Linked DNA regions of Saccharomyces cerevisiae S288C. Changing the gene in region 2 together with the main gene of any one other region gives a genetic interaction. Each region holds a gene or a part of one and is shown on either strand. Other genes may lie near its edges.

Evidence for each region.
Region 1: mutations in MRI1 (region 2) and AYT1 together harm fitness more than expected from each alone (negative genetic interaction), as found in Saccharomyces cerevisiae (one large-scale study listed by BioGRID).

Annotation. Positions count from the first base shown.
Region 1 is NC_001144.5:2,794-17,821, forward strand, and holds AYT1 (acetyltransferase), read right to left. Parts: upstream 13,280-15,028; coding exon 11,855-13,279; downstream 1-11,854. Other genes in the region: YLL067C (Y' element ATP-dependent helicase), read right to left, coding at 1-1,122, 1,222-1,508; YLL066W-B (uncharacterized protein), read left to right, coding at 2,812-2,982; YLL066C (Y' element ATP-dependent helicase), read right to left, coding at 3,327-6,657, 6,757-7,043; seripauperin PAU18, read right to left, coding at 10,290-10,652; S-adenosylmethionine-homocysteine S-methyltransferase MHT1, read right to left, coding at 13,846-14,820.
Region 2 is NC_001148.4:759,340-776,221, reverse strand, and holds MRI1 (S-methyl-5-thioribose-1-phosphate isomerase MRI1), read right to left. Parts: upstream 8,471-16,882; coding exon 7,235-8,470; downstream 1-7,234. Other genes in the region: B-type cyclin CLB5, read left to right, coding at 1,040-2,347; B-type cyclin CLB2, read right to left, coding at 3,094-4,569; HOB2 (Hob2p), read right to left, coding at 8,728-16,197; RRG8 (Rrg8p), read right to left, coding at 16,741-16,882. UniProt on the Saccharomyces cerevisiae protein: Catalyzes the interconversion of methylthioribose-1-phosphate (MTR-1-P) into methylthioribulose-1-phosphate (MTRu-1-P).

The DNA.
Region 1 (15,028 bases), on a different chromosome or scaffold from region 2:
GAGCAGGCCAATTCTTCCACTTCGTTGGTTGTGCTTGCAACTACAATGGCCTTCGACTCTGGTTCAATTTCAAAGAGGGCTAAAAGAAGCTTCAGTGCTTCTTCGGGCTGTGATTCCACTTTCTTCCAAATTTTATGAACATGCCCTAAAGGCACCTCGGATTTCTCCTTGATTAGATTAAACATCCGTGTTGGATAGCTGGATAGACCTCTGCTGAGATCTTCCGACCGTTTGAGCTCGTTGATGTCCATCGACTTCTTGGCCAGTCCCGTAAGCCCAATACGCTGCAACGCAGCATCAGCTACAGCCTCAGGTGCTGTGCCGCTCAAAAAGATTGCTTTCTCAAAAGCGTCAAAATCAAGGTTAGTTATGCCCCCAAATTGCGACTGCCGGTAGACCTCCGTTTCAAAGTTGTGAAACTCATCTACAATGAGGTAACCCAATTTTACGTTGTTGGTCCTAAAGGTGCACTCAACAATATTCTCCCACGCAGCTATCCTGTCTGTGAAATTAGTGCTAGCAAGATCATCGTAGATCCCCACGTATAAATCAGTAACGCCATCGCAACCTTCTTCAATAAAGTTTCTTACAGGGGCCACATTCAAGCAACCGCATCGGCCCAACCTGATCATGCAATTAGCAAGCAACACTGTGTACGGTACAAACAGAAACGACACATATTTCACGTCGCCCTTAGACGCCAGTGCTATCAAGGGGAGATGAAATAACTCCGTCTTACCATAGCCCGGTGGGGCCTGTACTGCCACAGAGGGTGTGTCTGCCATGTATATTTCATGACATAAGCGCAACTGATGCAAGTCCCTGAATTCAAAGGAGCTGCCAAAGAGTTTCTGGCCTGCGACGAGGATATCGTTTGTACTCTTGGGCTCTCGGGGCCTTTTTCGCGTTACTCTTGAAATTTTTTGATCATGATCTGAACTCGCCGCCTCACCTGCCACTACGTCTTCCGCATTCCGAGTACTAGAGAATGAACAATGGTAGTCGCTTTCAAGGCCTAACCATTGAATCCAGCGCTCGGAAGTGAGTCCGTCAAGCGTCTTTAGTCGAGGCTCCGATGAACCGTTCTTGTTGTATCGTCGACGTATACGTTGCGCTGTAGCTCTGGATAACGGTAAGCGTATCACCGTAAGCTCGTCAATTATTTTTGAGAGCCGCGGTCATTTTGTTAGTATCTCTTCTCAACTTGGGCAGCACACATGCAAAACATCACCCAATCGGTCCTTTTTGTTCATCATATCGTTACATATCTGTGAAAAGTACTTTATCTCAATGGGTTTACGTGGGCATAGATCACGCTTCAGCCGCTCTGTGTCGACTTTCTTTTCGCCAGGTAAACTTGCTTGGTATGCAGAAAAAATCGATAGCTCATCTACGTGTAGTAACAAAAACATGTGGGGTGCCAAATTGTACCCATATCTCCTTATGGTGCTTTTCTGAAGACTCCTTACAATAGGTGCGCCAGAAACAAAGTCAGTGAAAGTACGCATCGTAGAGCTGTCGTTCGGCCTGGCACTCGCTATTTCGTGACAACGTTCCAGGACACGGAAACTCAACTCATTATAGTATCCTCTGTTGAGGTAAAAAAGAGAAAGGGTATCGTAATCCTTTCTATTGAATTTCAAAGTATGCACTTGAAACAACGTGTAGACCATCAAGTTGATTTTCTTGGGAATAAGATACTTTGAAGGGATTGGTCCGCCCTGGAAATCTGGTTCGTCTTCAACAAACGTCAGGAACTTTTGTACATTTTTCCCGACCATGACGGAAACGACAATTTTTTCAAAAGACCTTTTCCTATCCATTGCACCAGTTCTGAATTTTACCACTTTGATTAGGCCAGACTTTTCGTCTTCGTAGAATGACCGCACTTCCGTGGGGATCGATTCAAATAAAGTTATTGAGGGACAATGTACCAAGTCGTTTTTGTTATTTAGAGCCGACTCAAACTCGTCAAAGTTTGCTTTTTCAAACTTACGCCTATCGGAAACTTTCATTTTATTTTTGTAAGTTTCGAAATTAACAATAGTATGTTGATTGTTATGCTTTTTGACAAGAAATCCATCAATATAAACAAAAGATTGTCCAGTTTCCGTCTTATCATCATCTAAGAATGTAATAATTAAGCTACTCTATTGAGAAGAAGCAGAATCTGCGCTATGCAGGTGCAAATCTCCAGCAGCAGCAAAGAAAATTCAGTTAATAAGAAATCTCACTAAGATAAGCGACTGTCTGTCCCAACATAGAAAACAGAAGGATGTCTCATTCATCCTTGATTTCCGGCCTGCAAAAATAAAGTAGTCGGTACGTACGTTCGTTTTCAATTTCCATGGTGCACAGTATCTTAACTATCTGCTTAGTCGAGGAGAACCAGGATTCTGTTCGTTGCTCAGCCGCTTCGTGGATATTCTCTTGGATACTTTAAATATGGACCTACGCTTAGCCTGCGCTTAGCCTACAACTTCTTCCGCTCTCGAAAAGACCAATATAATAGAAAGTTATAAATTACATTTCCTTATTAGGTATACGACCTCGCGCTTCGAAGTAGAGGAGCCCTTTTTGGCGTACCTACATATGGCGCGTCAGACAGACAAACTTCCCCCAAAAATGTATTACCCTGCCGAATAAGAAAACAGACCCATTCACCCACGACGTATCAAGTTACTTCCTTGGTGCAATGTCCCACTATAAAAAAATTCCTTGACGCTAGATCGTTGGACTAAAATCTGCGTCACAATCGCCTAAACAGGAAATATTGCCTATTTTCGTACAAGGTTACTTCCTAGATGCTATATGTCCCTACGGCCTTGTCTAACACCATCCAGCATGCAATACAGTGACATATATATACACCACACCCACACACCACACCCACACCACACCCACACCCACACACACCACACACCCACACACTCTCTTACATCTACCTTTACTCTCGCTGTCACACCTTACCCGGCTTTCTGACCGAAATTAAAAAAAATGAAAATGAAACCCTCTTCTTTAGCCCTACAACACTTTTACATAGCCCTAAGTAGCCCTCATGTACGTCTCCTCCAAGCCCTGTTGTCTCTTACCCGGATGTTCAACCAAAAGCTACTTACTACCTTTATTTTATGTTTACTTTTTATAGATTGTCTTTTTATCCTACTCTTTCCCACTTGTCTCTCGCTACTGCCGTGCAACAAACACTAAATCAAAACAGTGAAATACTACTACATCAAAACGCATATTCCCTAGAAAAAAAAATTTCTTACAATATACTATACTACACAATACATAATCACTGACTTTCGTAACAACAATTTCCTTCACTCTCCAACTTCTCTGCTCGAATCTCTACATAGTAATATTATATCAAATCTACCGTCTGGAACATCATCGCTATCCAGCTCTTTGTGAACCGCTACCATCAGCATGTACAGCGGTACCCTCGTGTTATCTGCAGCGAGAACTTCAACGTTTGCCAAATCAACCCAATGTGGTAACAACCACACCTCCGAAATCTGCTCCAAAAGATATTCCAGTTTCTGCCGAAATGTTTTATTGTAGAACAGCCCTATCAGCATCGACAGGAATGCCGTCCAATGCGGCACTTTAGATGGGGTAACTCCCAGCGCAAGCTGATCTCGCAAGTGCATTCCTAGACTTAATTCATATCTGCTCCTCAACTGTCGATGATGCCTGCTAAACTGCAGCTTGACGTACTGCGGACCCTGCAGTCCAGCGCTCGTCATGGAACGCAAACGCTGAAAAACTCCAACTTTCTCGAGCGCTTCCACAAAGACCGTATCGTCTTTTGCCTCCCATTCTTCCCGGCACTTTTTCTCGTCCCAGTTCAAAAAGTACTGCAGCACCTCTGTCTTCGATTCACGCAAGTTGCTCCATACTTTATAATACAACTCTTTGATCTGCCTTCCAGACATGCGGAAAACTTGGCTCCCTTGCTTGCCTCTTGTCGAATCCAATACACTAATTGTTTCTCTTCTTCTAGTAATGGCCAGGTACCAAGCATAATTTCTCTGTATCTGAGAGTAGATCTCTCCCCTTTTTACGCTAAAAAATTTCAAATACCCTACAGGGTCCCCATGATATGGCTCGATGTCTTCCAAGTATTCTTTGTATTCCTCGTCATTTCGCAGCATTCTCTCCACAGCTAGTGCTTCCCAAGCCATCCTCCGATACGATACTTTCTGGCCAGCCCAACAGACACAGAGCCCGAACATCTTTTGACAGCCCTTGCATAATCCGTATTGTGTGAATACTCCCTCTGGGCAGAAGTATATGTCAATACCATAGAGGAAAAGATGTTTAATTTCGTCAGACCGAAATCCAAGAAACTGTAAGACATTCATATTCTCGGAAGTATTGGGAAATTGTGCTTTCAGTTTCTTTCTCTCTAGCAAAACCATTTGACTCCCTTTCCGCTTATACGACTCTTTGTTAATGTCGGTGACTGGATGGAATCTATTATCCTCAGCATTGCCATCTTTATTGGCGTCCTCCTTGGCACTAGCGTTGGTACTTTCAGTGGTAGTGGCATTAGTGCTGGAGTTGGTGCTAGCAGTGGTAGTGGCATTAGTGCTGGAGTTGGTGCTAGCAGTGGTAGTAGCACTAGTGTTGGAGTCGGTACTTTCGGTGGTAGTAGCACTAGTGTTGGAGTCGGTACTTTCGGTGGTAGTAGCACTAGTGTTGGAGTTGGTACTTTCAGTGGTAGTCGCACTAGTCCTGACGTTGATGCTGGCAGTGGTAGTAGCACTAGTCCTGACGTTGGTGCTGGCAGTGGTAGTAGCATTAGTGCTGGAGTTGGTACTTTCAGTGGTAGTCGCACTAGTCCTGACGTTGATGCTGGCAGTGGTAGTAGCACTAGTCCTGACGTTGGTGCTGGCAGTGGTAGTAGCATTAGTGCTGGAGTTGGTAGTCGCATTGGTACTGGCATTAGCACTACCATGAATGCACGTGTTGCTGTCCTCATCACTGCTGCAATACTTTCTGCACCTGTCACTGCTATTGCTCTCCTGGAAGCTAGACGGTAACGCAACGATCGACATGGAAGCTGTCGCCTGTTTTTCAGCCAATCTGTCCATTCTTTCTATCAGTTCCACTGTGTCAGCAGACAGGTCTGTCCTGGAGCCACAGCATCCAACATGCTGGCCCTTTTTTCCTTTCTTTGATTCAAGTCCATAGAACTCGCGTACCTGTTCGGTTATACAGCCTTCCTTAATCGGTGGTAATTCACCCTTACGATTCCTTGCCGCCCAACTGTTTTTTCTAGATAATAGATAACAGAGGCCCCCATCTCTTAGTCTCCCTACGCCTTGAATGAGCTCAATAATATTAAGTCTATTATCAAGCATGATCACCATCATCAATTGCTTAATGTCAATTCCTTCAGTCACTAATTTCGTTCCGATGAGAACTCGCATGCTACCGTCAGTGACAAACTCCTTTGTGCGAGACACCTTTTCTGCAGCACCCAGCTTCCCGTGTATCCATACCACCCTAAAATACTTTCTCCAAGAGCAGGCCAATTCTTCCACTTCGTTGGTTGTGCTTGCAACTACAATGGCCTTCGACTCTGGTTCAATTTCAAAGAGGGCTAAAAGAAGCTTCAGTGCTTCTTCGGGCTGTGATTCCACTTTCTTCCAAATTTTATGAACATGCCCTAAAGGCACCTCGGATTTCTCCTTGATTAGATTAAACATCCGTGTTGGATAGCTGGATAGACCTCTGCTGAGATCTTCCGACCGTTTGAGCTCGTTGATGTCCATCGACTTCTTGGCCAGTCCCGTAAGCCCAATACGCTGCAACGCAGCATCAGCTACAGCCTCAGGTGCTGTGCCGCTCAAAAAGATTGCTTTCTCAAAAGCGTCAAAATCAAGGTTAGTTATGCCCCCAAATTGCGACTGCCGGTAGACCTCCGTTTCAAAGTTGTGAAACTCATCTACAATGAGGTAACCCAATTTTACGTTGTTGGTCCTAAAGGTGCACTCAACAATATTCTCCCACGCAGCTATCCTGTCTGTGAAATTAGTGCTAGCAAGATCATCGTAGATCCCCACGTATAAATCAGTAACGCCATCGCAACCTTCTTCAATAAAGTTTCTTACAGGGGCCACATTCAAGCAACCGCATCGGCCCAACCTGATCATGCAATTAGCAAGCAACACTGTGTACGGTACAAACAGAAACGACACATATTTCACGTCGCCCTTAGACGCCAGTGCTATCAAGGGGAGATGAAATAACTCCGTCTTACCATAGCCCGGTGGGGCCTGTACTGCCACAGAGGGTGTGTCTGCCATGTATATTTCATGACATAAGCGCAACTGATGCAAGTCCCTGAATTCAAAGGAGCTGCCAAAGAGTTTCTGGCCTGCGACGAGGATATCGTTTGTACTCTTGGGCTCTCGGGGCCTTTTTCGCGTTACTCTTGAAATTTTTTGATCATGATCTGAACTCGCCGCCTCACCTGCCACTACGTCTTCCGCATTCCGAGTACTAGAGAATGAACAATGGTAGTCGCTTTCAAGGCCTAACCATTGAATCCAGCGCTCGGAAGTGAGTCCGTCAAGCGTCTTTAGTCGAGGCTCCGATGAACCGTTCTTGTTGTATCGTCGACGTATACGTTGCGCTGTAGCTCTGGATAACGGTAAGCGTATCACCGTAAGCTCGTCAATTATTTTTGAGAGCCGCGGTCATTTTGTTAGTATCTCTTCTCAACTTGGGCAGCACACATGCAAAACATCACCCAATCGGTCCTTTTTGTTCATCATATCGTTACATATCTGTGAAAAGTACTTTATCTCAATGGGTTTACGTGGGCATAGATCACGCTTCAGCCGCTCTGTGTCGACTTTCTTTTCGCCAGGTAAACTTGCTTGGTATGCAGAAAAAATCGATAGCTCATCTACGTGTAGTAACAAAAACATGTGGGGTGCCAAATTGTACCCATATCTCCTTATGGTGCTTTTCTGAAGACTCCTTACAATAGGTGCGCCAGAAACAAAGTCAGTGAAAGTACGCATCGTAGAGCTGTCGTTCGGCCTGGCACTCGCTATTTCGTGACAACGTTCCAGGACACGGAAACTCAACTCATTATAGTATCCTCTGTTGAGGTAAAAAAGAGAAAGGGTATCGTAATCCTTTCTATTGAATTTCAAAGTATGCACTTGAAACAACGTGTAGACCATCAAGTTGATTTTCTTGGGAATAAGATACTTTGAAGGGATTGGTCCGCCCTGGAAATCTGGTTCGTCTTCAACAAACGTCAGGAACTTTTGTACATTTTTCCCGACCATGACGGAAACGACAATTTTTTCAAAAGACCTTTTCCTATCCATTGCACCAGTTCTGAATTTTACCACTTTGATTAGGCCAGACTTTTCGTCTTCGTAGAATGACCGCACTTCCGTGGGGATCGATTCAAATAAAGTTATTGAGGGACAATGTACCAAGTCGTTTTTGTTATTTAGAGCCGACTCAAACTCGTCAAAGTTTGCTTTTTCAAACTTACGCCTATCGGAAACTTTCATTTTATTTTTGTAAGTTTCGAAATTAACAATAGTATGTTGATTGTTATGCTTTTTGACAAGAAATCCATCAATATAAACAAAAGATTGTCCAGTTTCCGTCTTATCATCATCTAAGAATGTAATAATTAAGCTACTCTATTGAGAAGAAGCAGAATCTGCGCTATGCAGGTGCAAATCTCCAGCAGCAGCAAAGAAAATTCAGTTAATAAGAAATCTCACTAAGATAAGCGACTGTCTGTCCCAACATAGAAAACAGAAGGATGTCTCATTCATCCTTGATTTCCGGCCTGCAAAAATAAAGTAGTCGGTACGTACGTTCGTTTTCAATTTCCATGGTGCACAGTATCTTAACTATCTGCTTAGTCGAGGAGAACCAGGATTCTGTTCGTTGCTCAGCCGCTTCGTGGATATTCTCTTGGATACTTTAAATATGGACCTACGCTTAGCCTGCGCTTAGCCTACAACTTCTTCCGCTCTCGAAAAGACCAATATAATAGAAAGTTATAAATTACATTTCCTTATTAGGTATACGACCTCGCGCTTCGAAGTAGAGGAGCCCTTTTTGGCGTACCTACATATGGCGCGTCAGACAGACAAACTTCCCCCAAAAATGTATTACCCTGCCGAATAAGAAAACAGACCCATTCACCCACGACGTATCAAGTTACTTCCTTGGTGCAATGTCCCACTATAAAAAAATTCCTTGACGCTAGATCGTTGGACTAAAATCTGCGTCACAATCGCCTAAACAGGAAATATTGCCTATTTTCGTACAAGGTTACTTCCTAGATGCTATATGTCCCTACGGCCTTGTCTAACACCATCCAGCATGCAATACAGTGACATATATATACACCACACCCACACACCACACCCACACACACACACCCACACCCACACCCACACACACACACCCACACACACCACACCCACACACCACACCCACACCCACACCACACCCACACACCCACACCCACACACCCACACCACACCCACACCCACACACACCCACACAGTACCTCAACACAACCCCTAATCCAACCCTGATGAACCTGCCTCCAAACCTACCCTCCATTACCCTACCTCTCCACTCGTTACCCTGTCTCATTCAACCGTACCACTCCCAACCACCATCCATCTCTCTACTTACCACTAACCACCGTCCACCATAACCGTTACCCTCCAATTACCCATATCCAACTCCACTACCGCTTACCCTACCATCGACGATGTCCTACTCACTGTACTGTTGTTCACCCACCATATTGAAACGTCTACAAATGATCGTAAATAATACACATATACTTATCCTACCACTCTAATCCCACTACCACATGCCATACTCACCTTCACTTGTATACTGATATGGCATATGCACACGGATGCTACAGTATATACCACTCTCAAACTTACCCTACTCTCACATTCCACTCCATCACCCATCTCTCACCATCAGTACCAAATGCACTCGCATCATTATGCACGGCACTTGCCTCAGCGGTTTATACCCTGTGCCATTTACCCATAAAGTCCATCATTATCCACATTTTAATATCTATATCTCATTCGGCGACCCCAAATATTGTATAACTGCCCTTAATACATACGTTATACCACTTTTGCACCATATACTAACCACTCAATTTATACACACTTATTTCAATATACCCACAAAATCACCACCAAAATCACCTAAACATAAAAATTATTTATCTTTCAACTTTACGAAATAAACATATTGACTTGAAGTATGAGCACTACCATAACGTCATTAACGTAAAAGTTCCTTAATATTACCATTTGCTTGAACGGATGCCATTTCAGAATATTTCTAACTTTCACAGACCATACATTAGAATAATATGCCACCTCACTGTCGTAACACTCTATATTCACCGAGAAACAATACGGTAGTGGCTCAAACTCATGCCGGCGCTATGATAAAATTGTATCCTATTTCCATTCCCATATGCTAACCGCAATATCCTAAAAGGATAACTGATGCATCTTTAATCTTGTATGTGACACTACTCATACGAAGAGACTATATCTAAAGAAGACGATACGGTGATAGGTTTGTTGTTTTTGTAGGAGTCAACGAAACGCCAAATAATTCTACGGTAATATAACTTATCAGCGCCGTATACTAAAACGGACGTTACGATATTGTCTCACTTCATCTTACCACCCTCTATCTTATTGTTGATAAAACACTAACCCCTCAGCTTTATTTCTAGTTACAGTTACACAAAAACTATCGCAACCCAGAAATTTTGATATTTTAAGTGTCAAAAATGAGGGTCTCTAAATGAGAGTCTGGTACCATGACTTGTAACTCGCACTGCCCTGATCTGCAATCTTGTTCTTAGAAGTGACGCATATTCTATACGGCCCGACGCGACGCGCCAAAAAATGAAAAAAGAAGCAGCGACTCATTTTTATGGAAGGACAAAGTGCTGCGAAGTCATACGCTTCCAATTTCATTGTTGTTTATTGGGCATACTCTGTTAGCTTTATTTCCGTCCACGCTTTTTCTACAATAGTGTAAAAGTTTCTTTCTTATGTTTATCGTATTCATGAAATACTTCACGAACACCGTCATTGATCAAATAGGTCTATAATATTAATATACATTTATATAATCAACGGTATTTATATCATCAAAAAAAGTAGTTTCTTATTTTATTTTTTCATTACTTTTCACTGTCTATGGATTTTCATTCGTAAAGGCATCACTCCCTAGTTTGCGATAGTGTAGATACCGTCCTTGGATAGAGCCTTGGAGATAGCTGGCTTTAATCTGGTGGAGTACCATGGGACACCGGTTATCATTCTGGTCACTTGGTCTGGGGCAATACCAGTCAACATGGTGGTGAAGTCACCGTAGTTGAAAACGGCTTCAGCAACTTCGACTGGGTAGGTTTCAGTTGGGTGGGCGGCTTGGAACATGTAGTATTGGGCCAAGTGAGCTCTGATATCAGAGACGTAGACACCCAATTCAACCAAGTTGACTCTTTCGTCAGATTGAGCTAGAGTGGTGGTTGCGGAAGCAGTAGCAGCGATGGCGGCAACACCAGCAGCGATTGAAGTTAATTTGACCATTGTATTTGTTTTGTTTGTTAGTGCTGATGTAATCTTAACAAGAAATAGTGAAATGAAAGCGCATACCTCAAAGGCATATAGTTGAAGCAGCTCTATTTATACCCGTTCCTCCATCTGTCATCACTACTTAAACGATTCGTTAACAGACGCTCATTTAGCACCTCACATATTCTCCATATCTCATCTTTCACACAATCTCATTATCTCTATGGAGATGCTCTTGTTTCTGAACGAATCGTACATCTTTCATAGGTTTCGTATGTGGAGTATTGTTTTATGGCACTCATGTGTATTCGTATGCGCAGAATGTGGGAATGCCAATTATAGGGGTGCCGGGGTGCCTTGAAAAACCCTTTTGCGCGCGCCTGTGACATTTCCTTTTTCGGTCAAAAAGAATATCCGAATTTTAGATTTGGACCCTCGTACAGAAGCTTATTGTTAAAGCCCATACTCAGTCTGTTCTAAACGGCTTCCATGGAAGAAAAATAACTATATTATAGCTTTCCTAAAAGTTTAATTAAGAATAGCAGACATGTGTTGGGAGTCGTATATTGTTAGAATCTGTAGTTTTAGGTGTTCTCAGTAAATTCATTGAAACAATTGCGTACTTGTAGGCTTCTGAGAAGCAGATAGTAGTCAAATAGTTGATATCTAAAGAGCTGCCGAAGGGGGTTTCTGTATCCGCGTAAGTAATTTTTTGAAATTTTAATGTGATTTTTGGCGGAATGGTGTGAGTGGTTCACTTCTCATCTTCAATTTCATCGTCTTATATTTCGATAATAAAACAATACAGTGAGCGTTGTTATTAAGTAAATCATAGGCACTTGGTATCATATAATTCAAAATCAAGTAGTTGTAGTAGTGCGTGTGTGCGTGTTAGTAATTGTTGATGGCCTAGTTCATCTCCTTATTGAAAAATGATAAACAGGTGGCAGTTTCAATTGTAGTAAATATTTATTCATTTTTTTATTATTGCTAACGTATCTGAAGGCTACGATGTAACGCAGCTCATCTCTTTTAAACATAAAAGTCATTTGTGTAATGTAGAGATTTACAAAGATTTTAAAAAAATAACAAAACTATACAAAACTATCTATATTTGAATACTTCCTACTATTTTTTTTTTTTTAACTATAATGAATGAATGCATGCCATATTGACTTACGTAACAAGGTGGCCTATTGGTAATATATTACATATCATCATCCTATATGTGTAGCATAATTTGTCCATTCTTTATCCGCATTCAGGCACTCCCAATCTTTATCTCTAAGGCAAAGAGCAACCACCATTTCACCTCTGGAGGATCTAGGCATAAAATATATTAGGCTCTCAAGGGAAATGAAGCGCGGCCGTCGTACACTCTTGGGCTTCCCAAGCCCTAGATTGAAATCAACGTCATACAGGCTGACTTTTGCCCACGAACTGACCATAATTCCAGATAAAGTATCAATTGGTTGAGGTATAGAAACCTTAGTCTTGTCCGGGCATCGGCTAAGGAGCGTAGCAAGTGCGCATGTATTATAGGCCAAATCGAAGACTTTAGGGTCTAGCTTCCTGCGAATCTGTGATGCAAGAACGCCCAAACTTTTATGATCCAAGCTTTTCAGGGAACCTGTATTAAAGGTCATGTTGACTAATAACCCTGGATACGTTTCGGGGAGTCCTAGCCGTTTTCTAACATCCACAGCACGCCCTAAATTTGATTTCGTTTCTGGTTTAAGTCGAGATAAACGGGCTCGAGAAACTGATTTCCAGATGAAAGCAGTGACGATATCATCAGTGGAGACAAATTTTGTGCCAGAAGTACATGTCTGCATTGCCAAAATCCTCAGATTCTGCAATGAGATAGCAGAAAATTCAACATAAGCCCAAGTAGAGTTCGAAGAACAAGACTGTTCCTTTTCCTCTCCACTTGTATTTCTAGAGGTTTCCACTATTTCATGAACTAGCGTGGTGTCGGGTTCCCAAGTTTCATCAAACAAAGGAATAGATTTGCTTTTATCTATATTTCCAATGAGCAGTTCTTCATCAGAGAAAGGTTTTTGGTGGCAAGATTTATTGAGCAAGTTGATGATACTTTCCTGTCCTGTTATATCCATAATATTGTGCTGCCCGACAATAGTTAAGACGAGGCCGCCGGAGATAAAGTTTGCTTGAACTGCAAATACAGGCCCACTCTTGGCGGCCATACCTATAGTGTTTCCAGGTGGATTGATAGTCATGCAAGGCGCAAAAGTCTTTTCGTCTAACATGTAGATAGGAAAGTCAGCTTTTTCAAGCGAATCCATTGTTGGGGCAGACAGATCTTCTCGAAGATCTTGGACGATAAGTGGAATTTTGTCTGACGGGACAATTCTGTAGGTACCAGTGTTACCTTCGTCAGCACCTTCATTTACGACATTTCCTGCTAGCCACTGGAAATTTTTAGCCAATGTTTCAAGTCCTCTTGTTAAGGTATTTACGATATGGTCATGAGCAGAAGGATCTGGTACACGGTAGATAGAGCATATTTGAGTGTATAGTTTGTATAGCGAAGGTTGTTGTCCCAAAATATCAAGTTGATCGTTTTCTAGCATCTGTACACTTTTTGTACGTTTCTGAGAGATGATCTTGACTCTAAACATCCATCTACCTTCAAAGTGAAATTTATAGTCACGTCCGTCATTATGCACGTCTTAAACATTAAAATCTTGATAAATACACTGTAAAAGCTTTAACGTTATTGGAATAGAAACTCTCATCACTCAGAGACCATCAGTTACCTGCAAAACGTTTCATATTTGTATATAAACCATGAGATTAAGTGGTCTGAAATTATGTATCATTTTTTGCATTCTAGCATGCCACAGCAAGGGGGTACACGTATTTTTTGATGGTGAATAAGATAGAAATGCATACCGTGATACTTCAAGCTGGCACTATCTTTATATCTTCCTCCGTATATAGCACTTGAAGCTCTGTATCTAGAATATCCTCTTTAGTCCGGGACGTGCCTCCAAATACTTACGGATTGGCGAAAAATATGCACTGAAATGTGTGCAAATTAACCAAAATAGGGCAGGCAGTAAAAAGTTCTAATGATTTTTCTATTTGATCAAGATAAAATAACCTTCTGCTGAGGACCGCACATTGACGTATATACACTGCTTTTAGTTTTGTAGATACAAGATATTTGTTAAAAGAAATTGAATTAGGAGTATTTATCTACAGCTGATGCAATTTCGGCGATATCTTTAGGAGACGTTCTACAACAACCGCCAATAATGCGCGCACCATTATCAACGAATTTCTTAACCGTGGTCTCCCAGTCATCCAACTTATTAGTCGGCCGGTGCCATGTCTTCTCTTTGGGATTGTAGATTTCTCCACTGTTTGGGTAAACTAGCAGAGGCATGCCAGGTAGATGCTCGTGCAACATTTTAAGAATTAATGCCGATTGATTGAAACTGACACAGTTAACTCCCATTAATAAGAGATTCTTGTTAATTTTATTTCCGAGGCCTTTTATATGGACAGAAATTTCTTCCAAAGTGGTACCGTCTCGTAGCAAACTATTGTCATCCACCGACAACCCAATATAAAAGGGCTTCGAAATAATATCTTCATCCCAGGATAAAATAGCCTTTAACTCATGAAAATTTGGAATCGTTTCAAAACCAATAAGATCAATATCTCTATTTTGGTTGAAGTTCTCCAGCTGGGGTTTGAAAAAGCCGTAGTAATCAATATTCTCAGGATGGGGACCATAGTCACCAGTATATTCACAGGATACATGTGCTGCCCATGGGCCAATACTCCCGATTAAGTACCTTTCCTCACCAATAAATTCACGAGTAAATGACACGATTTTATCGAGAAAACGCTTGTAAGCAGCCAGAGTTTTAATCGAGGTATTCTCAGATATGCTTTGAAAGTTTGCCTGGTAAGTAATTGTCATTAATATGTTTGCGCCAGCAATCATAAAGTCTCTGTACATTTCTTCTACCACCTTTCGCTCTTGAGAAGATGGCTCCCAAAAGGATTCGCTCGTAAAAGGAGCTGCAGACCATACCGGACTATTTATGTTAATGCCTCTGTTTTCCAATTCTGTACCCTGTCCACCATCAAGGATAAGAACTTTTCCGGGGTGCTCAACTATTAGTTCTTTGATTGGAATGCGCTTCATCTGTTTTTTGATTACTTTTTCAAGTTGCACACTAAAAGTTGCTGATTCAGATTTCTTCTACAACTTGTCTGTTTAAATTATCTTCCTTAGTAGTACATTTTCAAATTGGCGTTGTTGCTGTTTTGCTATTACCATTGAATACCTCGCCACAATTTGGTAGTACTTTCATGCCACAGTTTTTACTTTTCCACAGTTCCTGCAGGAATGG
Region 2 (16,882 bases):
CGATCTTTGCATTTCAGCTTCCATTATATTTGATGTCTGTTTTATGTCCCCACGTTACACCGCATGTGACAGTATACTAGTAACATGAGTGCTACCGAATAGATGACATTTTAGACTTTCATTCCAACAACTTGGTTGACAGAATGTTACGTACCCTATATCTAATCTATATGAGGCCTGAATCTAACTGAAAGGTGGAATTTCAGTAATTTATCAAGCTTTAATAAGTTTGGGTAGTTTAACTGTGCAAAAAGGTATTTACCTTACATACTGAATCTTGTCTGTTTGGTAGCGGCTGCTTTATGGGTGTTTCATAGATGTCCAAAATATATTGAGATATTGAGATATAACATTCTAGGATAATCAAAATTACCATAATTCAAAAGCTCGTATGGCGCAGTGGTAGCGCAGCAGATTGCAAATCTGTTGGTCCTTAGTTCGATCCTGAGTGCGAGCTTTCTTTTTTAGACTACTAATTTTATTTTGCTAGTCATTTTTTTTTTATACTCAAAAAGTAAAAAGACTACGAGTATATTCAAAGTAAAAAACGAACGTCAAACTATCTCGATTAAAACTTGTCATACTGTGGGTATCATATTCTGTGCCCTCAGTGAAAAGAACCAGCAAAAGAACGCGCATCTCGAGTGAAGACGCGCCCTTGATGGTACAAAATTTAACGGGAAGGCGCGTCGTGATGTTCACGCGCTTTGCCCACATTGGGATAGCGCCCACAGCATATCTGTGCTAAACTCACTTTTCCTAGTGACTGCCGATAGCTACTGCCATCTACCGCGAAGGGAACTTCATTTGCGTTCATCGGTTTATTAGAAGCTACTTGGAACTAATTCTTAAGCTTCTCAAGAAAAGTTTTTTTTCTGTCTATCTATTGAAGTCTTTTTGTCTTTGTACTTCAAGAGACTCAATCACCTAAAGCTTTTCACGGCCAATTAGTTGTCTCACACAAAGCAAAATAAGCTTAATAATTAGCAGTAACGCGCTTTTCCCTGTATTTAAAGCCGCTGAACACCTTTACTGAACAATGGGAGAGAACCACGACCATGAGCAGAGTATTAAAAGAAATTCTATGATTTATAATGAAAATGAGAGGCAGTTGTGCAATTCAAACCTAAAGATTCTTCAAAATAAAAGGGCCCTTTCAAAAAATGACAGCTCTAGTAAGCAGCAGGTTCAGGATTCTAAACCAAGAAGGGCTTTAACAGATGTACCAGTGAACAATAATCCTTTAAGCCAGAACAAGAGAATAGTAGCAGGGAGCAAGGCGGCCAAAGTACGAAGAGAAGAAAACATTAGACCTATTGTTAGCGCCGTTCAAAAAAGACAGATATATAACGATCGAACGGCAGCAGAGCAAGAAGAAGAAGAAGAAGAAGAAGGAGAAGATGATGATGCTGCTTCGATAGTGAACAAAAAACGCAGAATAGACGCTGAAGGAGTGAGTGAAATAGTAGGCTGGCAGGACCTAGATTATGTTGAAAAAGATGATACTGCAATGGTAGCAGAATATTCTGCTGAAATTTTTGCATTTTTATATAGAAGAGAATTAGAAACGTTACCATCGCACAACTATTTACTCGACAAAACGTCCAAGTATTATTTGAGGCCTTCCATGAGAACAATATTAGTGGATTGGCTGGTAGAGGTGCACGAAAAATTTCAATGCTATCCGGAAACGTTATTCCTATCCATAAACTTAATGGATAGATTTTTAGCTAAAAATAAAGTTACGATGAACAAGTTACAATTATTGGCAGTTACCTCACTTTTCATCGCGGCAAAATTTGAAGAGGTAAATTTGCCCAAACTAGCTGAATACGCTTATATCACTGACGGCGCGGCTTCTAAAAACGACATAAAAAATGCGGAAATGTTCATGCTCACTTCCTTAGAATTCAACATTGGTTGGCCCAACCCACTCAATTTCCTAAGGAGGATCTCCAAGGCAGATGATTACGATCCGGTTAATAGAAATATTGGTAAGTTTATTTTAGAGTATGCCTACTGCTGCCACCAATTCATTCATTTACCTCCATCTACCGTAAGCGCAATGGCAATGTATATAGCGAGAAGAATGACCAACAGAAACAAGAACGAGCTATGGAATGGAACACTACAGCATTACAGTGGTGGTATCGATCCAATACACGATGAAGCGTTTCAGTCTCTCTGCATTGATCTAGTCAAAGACATCGCTAGTTCCAAAACTCATTTAGATTCATTGATTTTGAAGTACAAGAAACCAAGGTATGGCTCTGTTTATTTCCAAACTTTCAAGTGGTGTACATCCGAAATGCATAGCAACTTTCAAAATCTATTTAATCTTAAGTAGATTAGTACTAGTAATGCTCATGAATTCGCATACTCTTTACATTTTCTTTTCTTTTTGCTGAACTAAAAGGAAAAAATTTTTTGCATCTATCTATCTATCTATATATATGTATATATAGTTTATAGTGATATGCGTGTTCACTTCAACATATATAATACCACCAGTATTACTACTATTATCATCATTAATATTAGAATTTTTTTTGTTTTTAAATTTATTCTTTTATTTTTATTATTATTATTATCATTATTACTATTAAAAAATTATTATTATTAATGTTATTCCAATGTTAATTATAATAACTATACTGAAATAATTTTAAAAGAAATGAAAAATGAGAAGAAAGCAGCATTTTTTAAGAGACTAAGGTTATGATATTTCCCATAATATCAACATCCGATACTGATGCTTTTCTTTGTCTACCCTCGCTACATGCATCCGGAAACGGTTGAACTGAAATAGAATAAAACTTATGGTACAAATCTGAAATTAAAATTAAAAAATTAAAATTAATGGTGTGGTGTTATTAGTGAGAATAAAAATGGAGTTTTATTTTGGAAATCTTAGGCTTCGAATGATTTTTTATCGTCAGTTTAAAAATAACAGAATGAAAGGCGCTAAAATTGGGTGTGAAATTTGTAAGAATAAATGGAAATGTGAAAAGAAATGATTAAAAAGCAGCCATACATTTTATATGGACATTTATCGATTATCGTTTTAGATATTTTAAGCATCTGCCCCTCTTCTCATTCATGCAAGGTCATTATATCATAGCCGTTTTTTCTAACCTTTAAAGCCCATTGGACGGAAATTATAGAAGCTTTCATAAATCTTCTAGATTGATATTTTCTATGAAATTCATCATGAACAATTGGACTCACTAGATAATCCATTATCATGTGACACACGGGCGCAAGTTCTTCTTTAGTATACCCGCCGCTATAGTGTATTAGATTTCCATCCCATTTACCTTTACCTAACATTTTTCTCGACATAAACATCGCAGCTGCTGCACACAATGAGGGTAGTATCCCAATAAATCTGAAATCTACCAATGATATCTCTAATAAGAATTTGGCAAGAGTTCGAGACTGTATATCGTAGTCATCTGCTTTCGAAATTCTTCTCAGAAAATTCATCGGATTGGGATAATTTAGGTTAAATTTCAATGTCTTTAAAATGAATTTCTCCCCTTCTTTGATTTCATCTTCCGTACATGCACCGTCTGTCTCTGATGCGAAATGTTTTATACTAGGAGAATAGACCTCTTCATATTTAGAGGCAATGAAAAGGCATGATGTGCCAACCAATTGTAACTTATCCAGTTGAACTAGCTCTTTACCTAAAAACCTGTCCATTATGTTAATGGCAAGATACAAAGTCTCCGGTAATAAGCCGAATTTATTATGGATTTTAACCAACCAATTAACTAGGATATCTCGATTTTGATGAATATTTCTATGCTGATAGAGATCTTCCTTCTTTGGAAGAGTAATGACCTCTAGTTGGTGGAGATATTCGAATATATCATTGACGTACTCGCTGACCATGAATGGATCATTTACATCTTCTGCATCTAGGTCTTCCCATTCATATTCTTCTTTGCCATTTTCATCGCACACTTTAAACTTTTTGGGCAGTTCTTGTTCAACAATTGTAGAAATTGGTCTTTTTTTTCCACTATCAGTTTCACTTTCGGTATTTCTAACTTGAAGTTGACTTCTAGCTGGATGAAGTTTTTCGTTTTCTACCGAGTTATGGACTACCTCAGTGCTTGATCCAACGCCTTTTAGGGGATCATGCTGGATTATCTCCTTCGCTGAGGAGGATTCTTGTAAACTTATATTTGCAGGCAGCTCAGCTCTCCCCTCCTTTATAGAAGTTAGCGCACCAAATTGCTGACTACTTGGGTCTTGGTTTTCTTTATCATCTAAAAGATTGTTTTTGGGGAGTTGGATACCATTTTCTTTCAGGGTTCTTTTCTCCTCTTGTGCGGCTGTTGATCTTGATACGCTTTCTCTAGTAAATTGAGGAATCCGACTTCCCTCCTTCTTTACTGAGTTTAGTGTAGATTTGAAATTTGTTAGGGCTGGATTATTCGCATTACTCTTTTGAAATGTCGTATTTGTTACATTGTTTAAGGCCAACCTTTGTACATTCCTCAAAAACCTTGATGAACTAGTATTCTGTGAGTTTTCTGTGTTTTCTATTGGGTTGGACATCTATAAGATCAATGAAGAGAGAGAGGGGGTAATCAATAAAAGGCTTCTTGGAAGGAAATAGCAAGTTATAAAAAAACTTCTGACAAACGAGCGAATGAAGTTTTTATACAATGATTAAAATTTCTCCAATGTCGTTAAAAGAATCTAAAAGGACAAAAATACAAAAGGAAAACAGATGCTCAATCAAAGAACCGCTTCAACAGATATTCTATGTCAATTTATTGAATAGCTCGCAGTAGGTTTTTATTATACACTGGCTCAATCAAAAAGAAAGAAAAAAAGAAAGAATAAATAACCAGTATCCTTTAGCTATATTTCTTTCGCTTTTCAGAAGTATCAATTCGAGAATACTTTACTTCTTGAGGTATAGGACAAAATTAATACCAGAAAGATTCAATTTTAGTAAATTTTTGGATCTTTTCAAAAGTCTAGCTAAATTGGCAAAAAATTAACCTAAAAAAAATCTATTTTATTATATTTTGATTTTTTTTCCTTTCTAAATTTTTGAGAAAGGATCTATTTCTCTTTTCCCCAAAGAGGTTATATTTTCCATTAAGAGCAAAATTTCTGAAACTCTATGCCCATGCTATGAGATGCTAGCTGTAACGAGTTTGCTATTTCCTCGAGGGACAGGCACCGAAGTTCATCCATATCGCGAACTTCGTTGTTGACCTTTTCCTGATTCGGTCGCTATATTTACAAATCTCCTTTTTTGATTAGTGCCTTGAACTTGCACTTTCCTAAACGGGCTCAATATGTAAACATATTATACAAATAGTTACCCGCATTTGGAATAAAATCTGTCTTTTGGCGGCTATTTCCGCGTGTTTGATTAGAAGGAGTAGTGGTCATTCTAATAATTCCACTGTGCTAATGCACTCGCACTTAATTTTTAAACTTCCGATGCATCAACACTAATGATCATAGCATAAAACGCGTAGAAGGCGATCTTAAGTTTGAGTCCCCCTAAGGCACCTTAGTAGACGGTCAAGAACAGGGTGTGAATATGGGCGATATTCAAGCGAGATTAGGACTTATAAAACAACAACAACAGGGATAACAAAACACTTGACCCCTATTTTTGTAATAAAACCGTTTTCAAGGTAAGGCAGTTAGTAATTTATGTACAACAGAAATTTCTGCCATTTCTTTCACGACAATAACGTAGGATAAGGCCATGAAAAACAAAAATACTAAAGTGCTTATCTAATAAAAGGAAAGGATTAAGCAGTTCCTGCCCATATTTTGGAAAGGCCGTAGCTTAGTTTCCCTGAAATTTACTTCAAGAAAGGTCTGCTTAGCAGTCACATATGTCAATTGTGGGCTGTTTAGTCAAAACCACTTGGAGGTTGATGAATTGATAGTATTTTGGTAAATGAACTAAATATACATTATCAATAAGACGTTGGAGGGGCTTTCTGTATAAATTCACCGAACACTCCCAAATTATGATAAACTTGCTTAAGCATCTTTTCGAAATGCAGTGCATGTGTTAAGTGACAAGCTAAAGGTAAGACATTACGATAATACTCTGTATAGATCGTAGTAACATGAATTATGAAGCATATAAAAATAATATGAAATGTTCATCGAATTTAATAAGTATAAATGCATGAAGATAATAATTCAATAAGATAGATAAACAAAAACGCATGAAGAGAACTTGTAGAACAATAAGCATATATCACCACTCCACTTTTTCTGAAAATTGTGTAGAAATGTAAATTCTGTGATGTTCGTTATGATTCAGTTTCTGTTTCTCAATCTCTATGTCATACTCTTACGCTATATGATAACACACTAGTAGTAGGAAAACTGGTCAAGAGATGATTGTTGTTTCTTTTCCCAACTCATACACCCCAAACAAATGCCTTTATCAAAATCCGATCTCAACACTTATCTTAGTTTACACATTTATCAAATAAGGTTGGCAATGTACCTTTTTCGGAAGGTAAACATCAAATATTTATAGAAATATTTATTAAGGACGCTCTGTTGTATTACGGGCTCGAGTAATACCGGAGTGTCTTGACAATCCTAATATAAACAGTCTTAGGGAAGTAACCAGTTGTTAAAACAGTTTATCAGATTAATTCACGGAATGTTACTTATCTTATATACTATATAAAATATGAATCATACTAAGTGGTGGAAACGCGGAATCTCGGATCTAAACTAATTGTTCAGGCATTTATACTTTTGGGTAGTTCAGCTAGGGAAGGACGGGTTTTGTCTCATGTTGTTCGTTTTGTTATAAGGTTGTTTCATATGTGTTTTATGAACGTTCAGGATGACGTATTGTCATACTGACATATCTCATTTTGAGATACAACACGCTCCGAAGAACTCATCCTTGTTAGCTCAGTTGGTAGAGCGTTCGGCTTTTAAGCGCATTTGCTTAAGCAAGGATACCGAAATGTCAGGGGTTCGAGCCCCCTATGAGGAGTTCTTTACTTTTTTGCACGTTTTACAAATATGCAGAAACAAAGACAATACATATTGTATCAGTTGGTTATAGTGTTTTGGACTTACAAGGTTCTGACAATATACATTAATGTGTTCCTTTTATTGAATGAAAAAAAAAAATAATTCTTACATCTCAATATGAAATTTTATCCTTTACAGTACAAAAGTAATTATTTCGAGAGTCTAATTAGAATGATATCTAGAAAAGGCTTTCCAGTTGAAATTCACCACTGGAATTTTTGGTAAATACACCTTCTTCTGTGATAATTCCGTCAATAAGCTCATGTGGAGTAATGTCGAAGGCTGGATTCCAGACATTGATTTCAAGAGGGGCAATACCGACCTTTCCAGTGATTGGCTCTCCTGACTCATTCAATATCAAGGAACCATTTTCAGGATTAATTACTGTACCAGTAACAACCTTGAATTCCTCAGGGTTACGTTCTTCCACAATAATGTCATCGCCAGTTTCGGTTACATTATCGATAGTTGTTTTGGGAGCTACTACAAAAAACTTAATTCCGAACTGCTTACAAATTACAGCAAGTTGTAAAGTACCAATTTTATTTGCTGTATCCCCATTACGAACAATTCTATCAGCTCCAACAAATGCTGCTTTGATTGGAATTGGACTAGTTCTAATTCTATACGCGATGGAACTATCAGTAATTAAAGTTGATGGAATCTTATCATAAACTAGCTCGTATGCTGTTAGCCTTGACCCTTGATTATAAGGTCTAGTTTCCAGTGGGAAGACATGGCCCATCCTCGGGCATTTTTCATTGTCCAATCCCGAGTCTGCCTTGTCGGTTTTAGCAAGTGAATCCTTCCACAAAGAACGGATAACACCTAAAGCCGTGCCATATCCAGAGGTTGCTAAGGATCCAGTATTACAAATCGTCAGAACGGCAAATTCGTCCTTGAAACCGTCCTTTTGTAACACGTCAATCAAATACTTAGCTCCATTATCACCCATTTTCATGTTATTCGCCAAATCCTCATCTATCAATTCACAGACGTAATTATATAAACTACCGTCAAAAGCCTTTAGGTCACTTGAGGATTTCAGTATGTTCTTTATCTCTACAAGAGAATTTGATAAATTAACGGCTGTGGGTCTACTACTCAAAAGGAAATCTAGCCTCTTATTTAGCACTGTTTTTGTAGATTCCCAGTTAACTAAAGAATACAGCGTAGCAACATCAGAAGTTGGGTTGTGTTTTATTAATTGTACCTCAGTCAAAACAGATAACGAACCCACAATTGCAATTGCCGGGGCACCTCTCACCTGCATACTTTTGATGACTGAGTACCCATCATCAATTGTGTGAATTGGAACGTATTTAGTAGTATATGGTAAAAGTAATTGATCAAGTACCTTTACCGAAACATTTTCTGGCTCCGATCTATCAAAGACGATGGCTTCCAACGACATTTTTTGTCAGCAGTTTGATAGATCACTTTGTCGGTCGTAGATATTGCTCTTAATCTTTTTATTCTAGCATGCTAAATTGATGAATGGGGAATACTTTGGCCGTGCGCCCCATCATCTCATCTTAGTAAGTGAAAAACCGGAAAAACTAACGCCAAGAAGGCCTGTAAAAAAAAAATCTTACTGATTTTCATTTTAGTATATAATACAATTACTATATAACTGAAGAATATTTACGCTAGACACATGTGTGTGTTTCCTCATTTATTTTTTGAAAACTCACTCGTAACAGGGTAAAATGGCTTTACTCCATTTCCATCATTTTCATTATACGTTTCATCTGAGTTTATTGATCTGATATCTGAAGAGTGCGTGGAGCTATAAAATGAATTATGCCCTTCGACTTCAAGGATATGTGAATTATCACGATTTTGAGAATCTGGACTTAGTAATCGATGTATTTCCATAGAAGTTTTTTTCTTATTCTCTTTTTTATGAGGCAAAAATTTGTTACCAATAATATTTCCCAAATGTTGTAAAACTATTCTTACGACGTCTCTTTTCAAAGCAGTAAAAAATTCTTCCCTCGACCACAGTTTGTTATGGTACTTTAAAACAGGGACTCTAACAATCAGGTTATTAACATCGGTCAAAAGGCTGTGTGAACCCTTATAACACACGGACATTAGAGTTTTTCGGATTATAATAGATTTTACATTGAAAAATGTCCCTGATCTTTTGACCATTTCATTGATGTTATAATCAGGTTGCACAAAAAGTGATGCTGACAATTTTCTATGATCACCCTTATGCTTTTTGATACCTTCTTTGCTCTGGATACTACGCAAGTCCCAAGAGTCAACGTCTTTCGCATCGTACACAGATAAAGAACCGTTAGAAAGACTGTGCCGTAAAACTGGAGACGATGAAAAGAAGGAACTAGTGGAAGAACGTGGTACAAGTTCTGGAGAATTGGGTTCTATGGAAGTTTGTTCTATCTTTGGAAATAGATAATTCATTAGTTTTTCCGATGTTTTGTGATCCATCTTGAAAATCAATGGCTGTAGAGAAACAATCAAATCTTGCAGATCTGAAATACCTCCAACTGATGGCCCCAGGATCCAAAAAATTTCTACCATTGGCGCGTTCTTATTATAGGATGAATTTTCATAAAAGGGGGCCAGCAATTCAGTGTAAACGGGATTTTCTTGCTGGTTGAAACATTGTAAGGAAGAAATGGATACTTTATTACTATTAGTGCCATCGGAAGTTTCTGAACGAATAAATGTAGAGGGCCCCAATCCGATAGTCACGAAAGGAGTTTTACTCTCATCGTACAATTCCCATATCAATTCATCTGTTCCAACTTGCCACCTCAATCTTTTCTGTATTACTCTATTACCACTCCCCATCCGGTCGTAAGTTTTCTTGATTGCCGTCATAAGTAACGTCAACTTCAACGTACTAGTTTGAATATCGAAGGTTAGCTCTTGTCCTGATTTCATAAACAATCTTGGCTCGTGAAGTTTGAGGTATGCTCGCGTATAATAGAGTTCCTTTATTCTTTCTTGTAATGCTGTGACAACAGAGACATCAAGATTTTCCAGGTTATTTCTGACCTCATCAGTAAATAATATCCTGGAAAGTTTCTCAACTTTTTCATCCAATGATGATCCAAAGGAAAGTAAATCTTCTGCGATTGCATATACAGCGCAGTATTGTTGACAGTCCGAGGTCAGAACCAATCCTGGAAATGCAATACGAAATCTCGAATCATAAGAGAATGCAGACGTATCATTTGCACTAAAAAATAGGGGATTGGGAGCGACGTAGGTCAAAAACATTGATCTCCGTTTTAGAAAAACATGCTTATCTAATAAAGACCCGTCAAAGCACATTTCAAGAGGAATCCATGGGGGCCATATATCTGACTCTTTGTCGGAACCATATCCATTTTTATGGAAAAATCTACCTTCAGGACCCTCTAAATCCTTTTTGAACAATGTAAACAACTGAATGTCCTTTGAAACAGCGGAATAGCGAGTTTCAACAATAGTATCGACGTCAACGGGAATTCTTTTTCCTGATTTTCCATACACTTGAACTATATCAATTATTCCCATTTCTATATCCCTAGCAGCTAAAATAACTGCTGCGTTCCTTTCAACGTCCGATTTGATCTGAACCTGAGGGGAGATTAGTCTAAAAAGATAATTATCAACATAATCAAAGTCATCACTCGGAACTTCTCTGATGAGTTTCTCAAAGTGCTCAATAAATTCTGAATTACTGGCTAAATCGTCCTCAAGTATTGAACCATAATCTTCTACAGATGTTCTGACCCCAGTCAACACATTTCCCAGTAATTCTTTTAAAATAGTTACGGATTTATAAGTCACAGCAAACCTCATAGATTTCCTTTCGAAAGCACTGGAAGCGTATTCCAAAAGGTGATGCCTGATTTTATTATCGATTTTTAACTCGATATTATGGACCATGAAACGGTTATCATAGGTGGACTCAACCTGCATAGTAGAGGCTTTTCTCATTGATACAAAAGACTCCACGGTATTGGTCCTCAATAGCGATATTCTATTTTGAATTGGCGGTGCATTTTCCAAATTTACATCAGTATCGGAGAGTGAGCTGGAGCTATCACCATCAGTATTTCCTCCAGGAATAGTCTCCGAGATTTTTAAATCGCTCAAGATGGTGTTGACTGTGTGCAATCTGTGGTTTAATTCAGCTACCTCTGCTTTTAATTCGCGTGCATAGCGCTCCGAATTTCCACTTACCGAACCTCCGCCTTTGTTCGATTGCAATTCGCTTAACGTAATATGTAATAATTTTAGTTGTTCTTCTATTTCTCGTTTTCTTTCAGTTGCTAATTTCTCCTGCGTCAATTCTGGATGATTCTTGCCAATCAGACAATTGTGAGATTCTTCGGTACCAAATGGGTAAGCTAGTACGTAACCATCATCATTTATTTTTCTAAAGTAGGATATTCTAGGAGAGTATAGCAATGGTATTGCTTCTAATTTTAATGGAAGTGAGGAACCAAGCGGCACTTGATTCAAGTCTATATAATCCTCATAATCATACCAATCTGATTCACGCAAGTATTCCACATCTTGAGGCGTAATAGGACGTGATGGCTCGTCTTCAAGTATGCCATCGAGTCCAGAAGTAAGAATTTCCTTAACTGCTTCCTGATCAAACAGAGTTGATAATATCCTAATATCTGCTTCTGCACAATCAATCTCACCCCTAGACATCTTAAACTTCCATACAGGTTTTGACTTATTTAATTTTTGGTTCGTATGGGTCAGTTTAACTCTTTTTTGATGCAAATCAATTTTCAGTGAATCAAACCTCCCTTTCAATCCAGTAAAAGTTATTTTGCGGTCTTTTTCAAGATCATATTGAGTAGTAATATGCCGATAAATATGCGTAACCATTAGCCGTTTTAAATGTAGCTGATAAGCTATTGTAAATAATGAGCGACCAAACTTTGTCTTGTTTTGAAGTACATCCGTAAATAACCGTCCTTGCCTAATAGGACCAGATGTATATGTATGAAATAAATTCCACCACTTAAAGAAATGTGTTAAAGCGTAAGGTGCGAGATAGAGACTATTTATGGATCCGTGCTCAGAAGAATAGACACCAAATGACATGTGGATAAAAGATGTTCTAAATCCTTTGTATGTATCATGGTGATCCAAATCTGCGACTCCATCTGGATTCATCAGCTGTATTTCATAATGTGGCCTATTTGGAAGGAACCTCTCTTCGTCACCAGCCTTAGATATATCGCCTTGTTCAAAAAGTAAACCTAATGTCCAAATTACTCTTCCATCGAGCTTCATAAAGACTTTATCAAATTTACTAACTTTGGCAAAGTCTGGCACTGCCAACTGAAACCTTTGGGATTCAATTTTTAAAAACTCTTTAGGATCCGTGGAGTTATGAACGTAAATTGTGGTGCCACCAGACCAGCAGAACGCCAGACCCGCACCATCATCTGTAATCTTATAAGGATCATGTGAACCTTTAATATTTAAGTGGATCTCACTTTCCTCTGAAAACTCGTATATCCACTTCCCATGCACTAAATATCTGAATTTGTCCCAAAATCCTAGCTTTTTGGACGGATCGATGAGAGGTTTGGTTAAAAAATCAAACCAAAGCATCAAAGACTCATAACCGGGTTGCAGAGATTTCCCCCATGTTATTCTGGCAGATGAAGAAGATGTAACCATTGACCTAATATTGAAATATGTTTTGACTGAATTAATTGTACGAATGATGTGCAAACCATATATTGTATTGGCGTCATTATAGGGGCTTCTTTGGGCAGAGCTGACAAAAGGAACATAAACAGTATGAAGCGCGCAAGGTGCTGGCATCTTTTCAGCAAATACAACATCACCTGTTGTAAATGTGTCGGGAAATGATATAGCAGGTATTGGATAATCTCTCAGACGCAACTCCCATAACGCGCTTTTGATTTTGAGGCCAAGAATAATTAGCAAAGTGTACTCCGTAGATTTTGGAACTTTTTTTCCATACTGGTAAACAAAATCCATATAATTGTCTAAAGGGAAGGAAGGACTGCCTAGTTTAAAATCCAAATCTTTTACGACGAGGTTAGCAACAGTACTGGTTTTCTGTCTAGTAAACAAGTGGTATTTCGTACCAAGCTCTTCACGGCTGATAACCCGATAAGGCATACCATAAAAAGAAAGTTTTGCTTTCCTGTATCTGGCAATCCATGACGTTGAAAAGTTTTCTAACAACCTGAGATAGGCCTTTTGCTCATATTCTTGATCATTCGCATAAAACTCTGGGAAAAAACTTTGTCCACGGGAGGTATCATAGAGCGACCTTAAACGTACATTCATGTCCTCATATGTTGATAGCTTTTCCTTGAACTCTTCAAGCTTCTTTAACCTCTCACGTTGTTCCAAAACACCAACTTTCAAAATTAATCCTAACTCCTGCTCAAAAGGATCTTCTTCAATATCAATTAGAAAATCCTGGCAACAAATATGTAAATTTGGAACTTTTTTCGGAAACTGTTGCTGAGGGTATAATCGCTTAAATTCATTCAAATTGGAAAATGCCAATTTAATTTGCTTAAACGATTTATACAACGTGACTATGTTATCCGTTATCATGTAAAATCTAAAATGATATTCGGCATGAAAATGAATCAATGAGGTGTTTATAACAGCGGATTTCTTGCAGATCAACTCTTCAGTGTCTAGCTCAAAGTCATTAATATTTAGCAAGGAAACATAAACCTTAATATGCTTCACATAAACCGATACCACGTACGCTGACAAAGATGCAATTGTAAGATTTTTAGTGGAACTTGAAAGTCCAATCCTCTCGAATATTAGGAGTACCTCTGTATTATGAGGAAGCGTTAGCTCTATAATCATCTTTCCTATATCTACTCTTAATCTATCGAGAACATTGACAGATTTTACACTGCTCACTGAATTTCGGCTCAATTTTGAATTAGGACGAAATTTTATCCATATACTCCGAATATAAAACCACAACCAGATAATATTTACATCCATCTTAAATTTAATCTTGGGAAGTGAAAAATGAATTTCATCTGAGTCGTTAAAACTCAATAACAAATTGGTAAATTGAATAATAACCTCAGGAGAGGGCTTATACGTAGTGCCATCCATGAAACGATATACGGATGCATCAATAATAGTGAAGTTTTTCTCCTGGCTGTCCGCTAACAATATTGATTCTGTAAAAACAACTTTGGCGCCTCTAGTTACGTCAGATAAGTTAAAATTCTCAGCTTCCACAGGATCCAAATTTTTCGGAAGAAACCCAGCGACCAGTAACGAACATGAAATATCCTTCATTCTAAGTTTCAATGACCAGTTAAATGTTTTCTTGGCTTCATTTAGGTCCCCCAATTTTCCACCATTCGCTTTATGAGCCGCATTCCTTTTTGTTCTGCTAGATATTAGCAAGTAAATTTTGTCAAAGGCGCGACTTAAAGTATGCAAAACTTCAATGTTCTCAAGACTAACGTACGAATGTCTTAGTGTAGACTGAACGATCAATTTAGAATTTGAAAATTCATCCAGAAATGTGTCTAATCTTTCAAAGCCACAGACTGGTATAGACACTGGGTTAGCGTCCTGCTCTGTTGGAATTCTCAGGTAAGAGAGTGATGTACCCACAATTTTAATATAGTTAGATAATTGATCAGATACTAGGGCTGTCTTCGCAAATGGCCAATCCGGACGTATTTGCATTACTTGTCCCTTTTTAGGAGTCATAGACAAGTTGTTACGGCTAAAGAGAGCATGTGTGCTGAAGACCTTAAACGTCACATTCTCCTCATCTGATATATGCAGCCTTGAAATAAAATTCGACATTAGTAGTTCAAAGTTAAAACTGGGCAATCGATCAATATCTAAATCTAAAATATTTAATGATCTGTCGTTTGTGTTAGTACATGATGAGGTCTCAGGGCTATCGAATTTGTCCACTAAATGAAGAACTTCCAGTACTTGATGTATAGTGAGGAATACTGAAGGATTTATAATGTTCAAAATGGAAGATACCTTCGTTCTCCGTAAAGGTACATTGTCAAGTAAAAATAGTAAAATATCTGACGTCAGTATGACATTTCCAAATGGAATTCTAACTGCTGTATTACCATCGATATCTACTACAACAGCATTTGCAGAAAGTGATAGTTCAAAATCGCCCCATGTGGGCTTATTTAAGGGTAAAAGTTCCAAAGCGGAGACATTATTTAGAATGGAGATTGATTCCAAGTAAAGTTGAGCACTTGATATGCGAATTGTAAACTTTTTTTTGTAAATCAACTTTACATTTTCTACCTTAAGGTCCAGAATGTTCAAAGTTTTCAGTGGGTAGTGAAAAGGCTTTAGCATCTTACGATATGAAGTGAGCATTTCCGCATCATCACCAGCAGAAAAAGGCTCAACAGGCTCCGAATGCAAATTCTTCCCTTTCTTCTCTGGAAGATGCCAACAAACATCACTTATTTTGAGACTTGATTTCCAATTTTTTAGTATAACTTTTGTGCAGTTGCTGCCTGTATCATCTTCCTTTCCAATTTTACAGACCATAAAAAAACCAGTATGGTTCAAAGTATCTTTCGTTTCAGGATGGGTAAAATCATGCAAAAATGCCTCTAACTTTATGGTATCATCGTGTGGGTGTGATATCGTTATGGATCCGATATTTAATTTATATTGTTTTCCATTAGGCACTGTAAGAGCTAAAGTATGAAAGAAAGTGGAAAATGAGAACACAAGTTTCAAAATTGATAGGACTCGCCTGTTAATTACAAAGGTAAAAGTTTGATCCCGCGGATTGAAATATGTTCTGGAGTCTTTAGTTGAATGTGCAGTGATATGGCTGTCCTTCCCAAATAACTTCAAATCAACATTATGAAACACAATTCCGGGTTTCCAACCTATTCGCAAGGTTATCTTGCCAATATATATTTGAGCAAAATCAGTTAAGATAAACGCTCGTCTTATTGACGTACCAAAAAAGTATCCAAATGAAATTTTTCGTATTGTGGAATGGCGCAGCATCAATATCCATGACATGAGAATACTAGCGATTTTCTGAATTGATATAATAAAAAGCATAAAGCCTAATAATAGTTTAGACACATCCCTTATTTGAGACCACGGTAACATAGACATTGTAGATTTTTTTTCTTGCAATAAACAGGATACTCCAGCTACTAGATATTATGGATGACAAGCCTACTCGAGAAATTGATCAGCAAAACTAAATTGAATGCTTAGCTTTTAAATGTAAGCCTTTTCGTGGGAAAAAGTGTATGATTTAGTTTTCAAAGAAGTACCTTCTATAATGGTAAATTATTGGTTGTGCTCTTGAATATAATGCATGTGTATGCCCTTGAAGTTTTTAATACAAAGCCACTAGTGCAAACAAATCAACAAATCTATTTACCCTTAATGTTCCTCTTTATCAATCATACAGCCTTGCAGATGGATGGTAAGTGATGGACTATAGAACACCTCAGAGATATTTTACGTAGATGTGCGGGATTAAGGGTTCTGAATTCTCCTGCCCGAGGCGCCCAAATTTTTCATTTTCGGATTGCAAAATGATGCCATTCGCTGACAGCCAGTTTTGTATTCATTGAATAAGAATAATGGCAAATTCAGAGAGACAATTCCAGCGATATATCCCGCTTTCCTTCCTTTTTTCTTCCGCAATCAGTTAACTGAATGAAACAATAATGTACTATAAAGGTGTTTGATGAGATCCTTGTCATTGTCGGCATCCAGGTAAATTCCATTAGTAACTGCATCTTTACTCACGATAGCTTCTAGAGTTGGCTCGTGGAGATAACCAAGG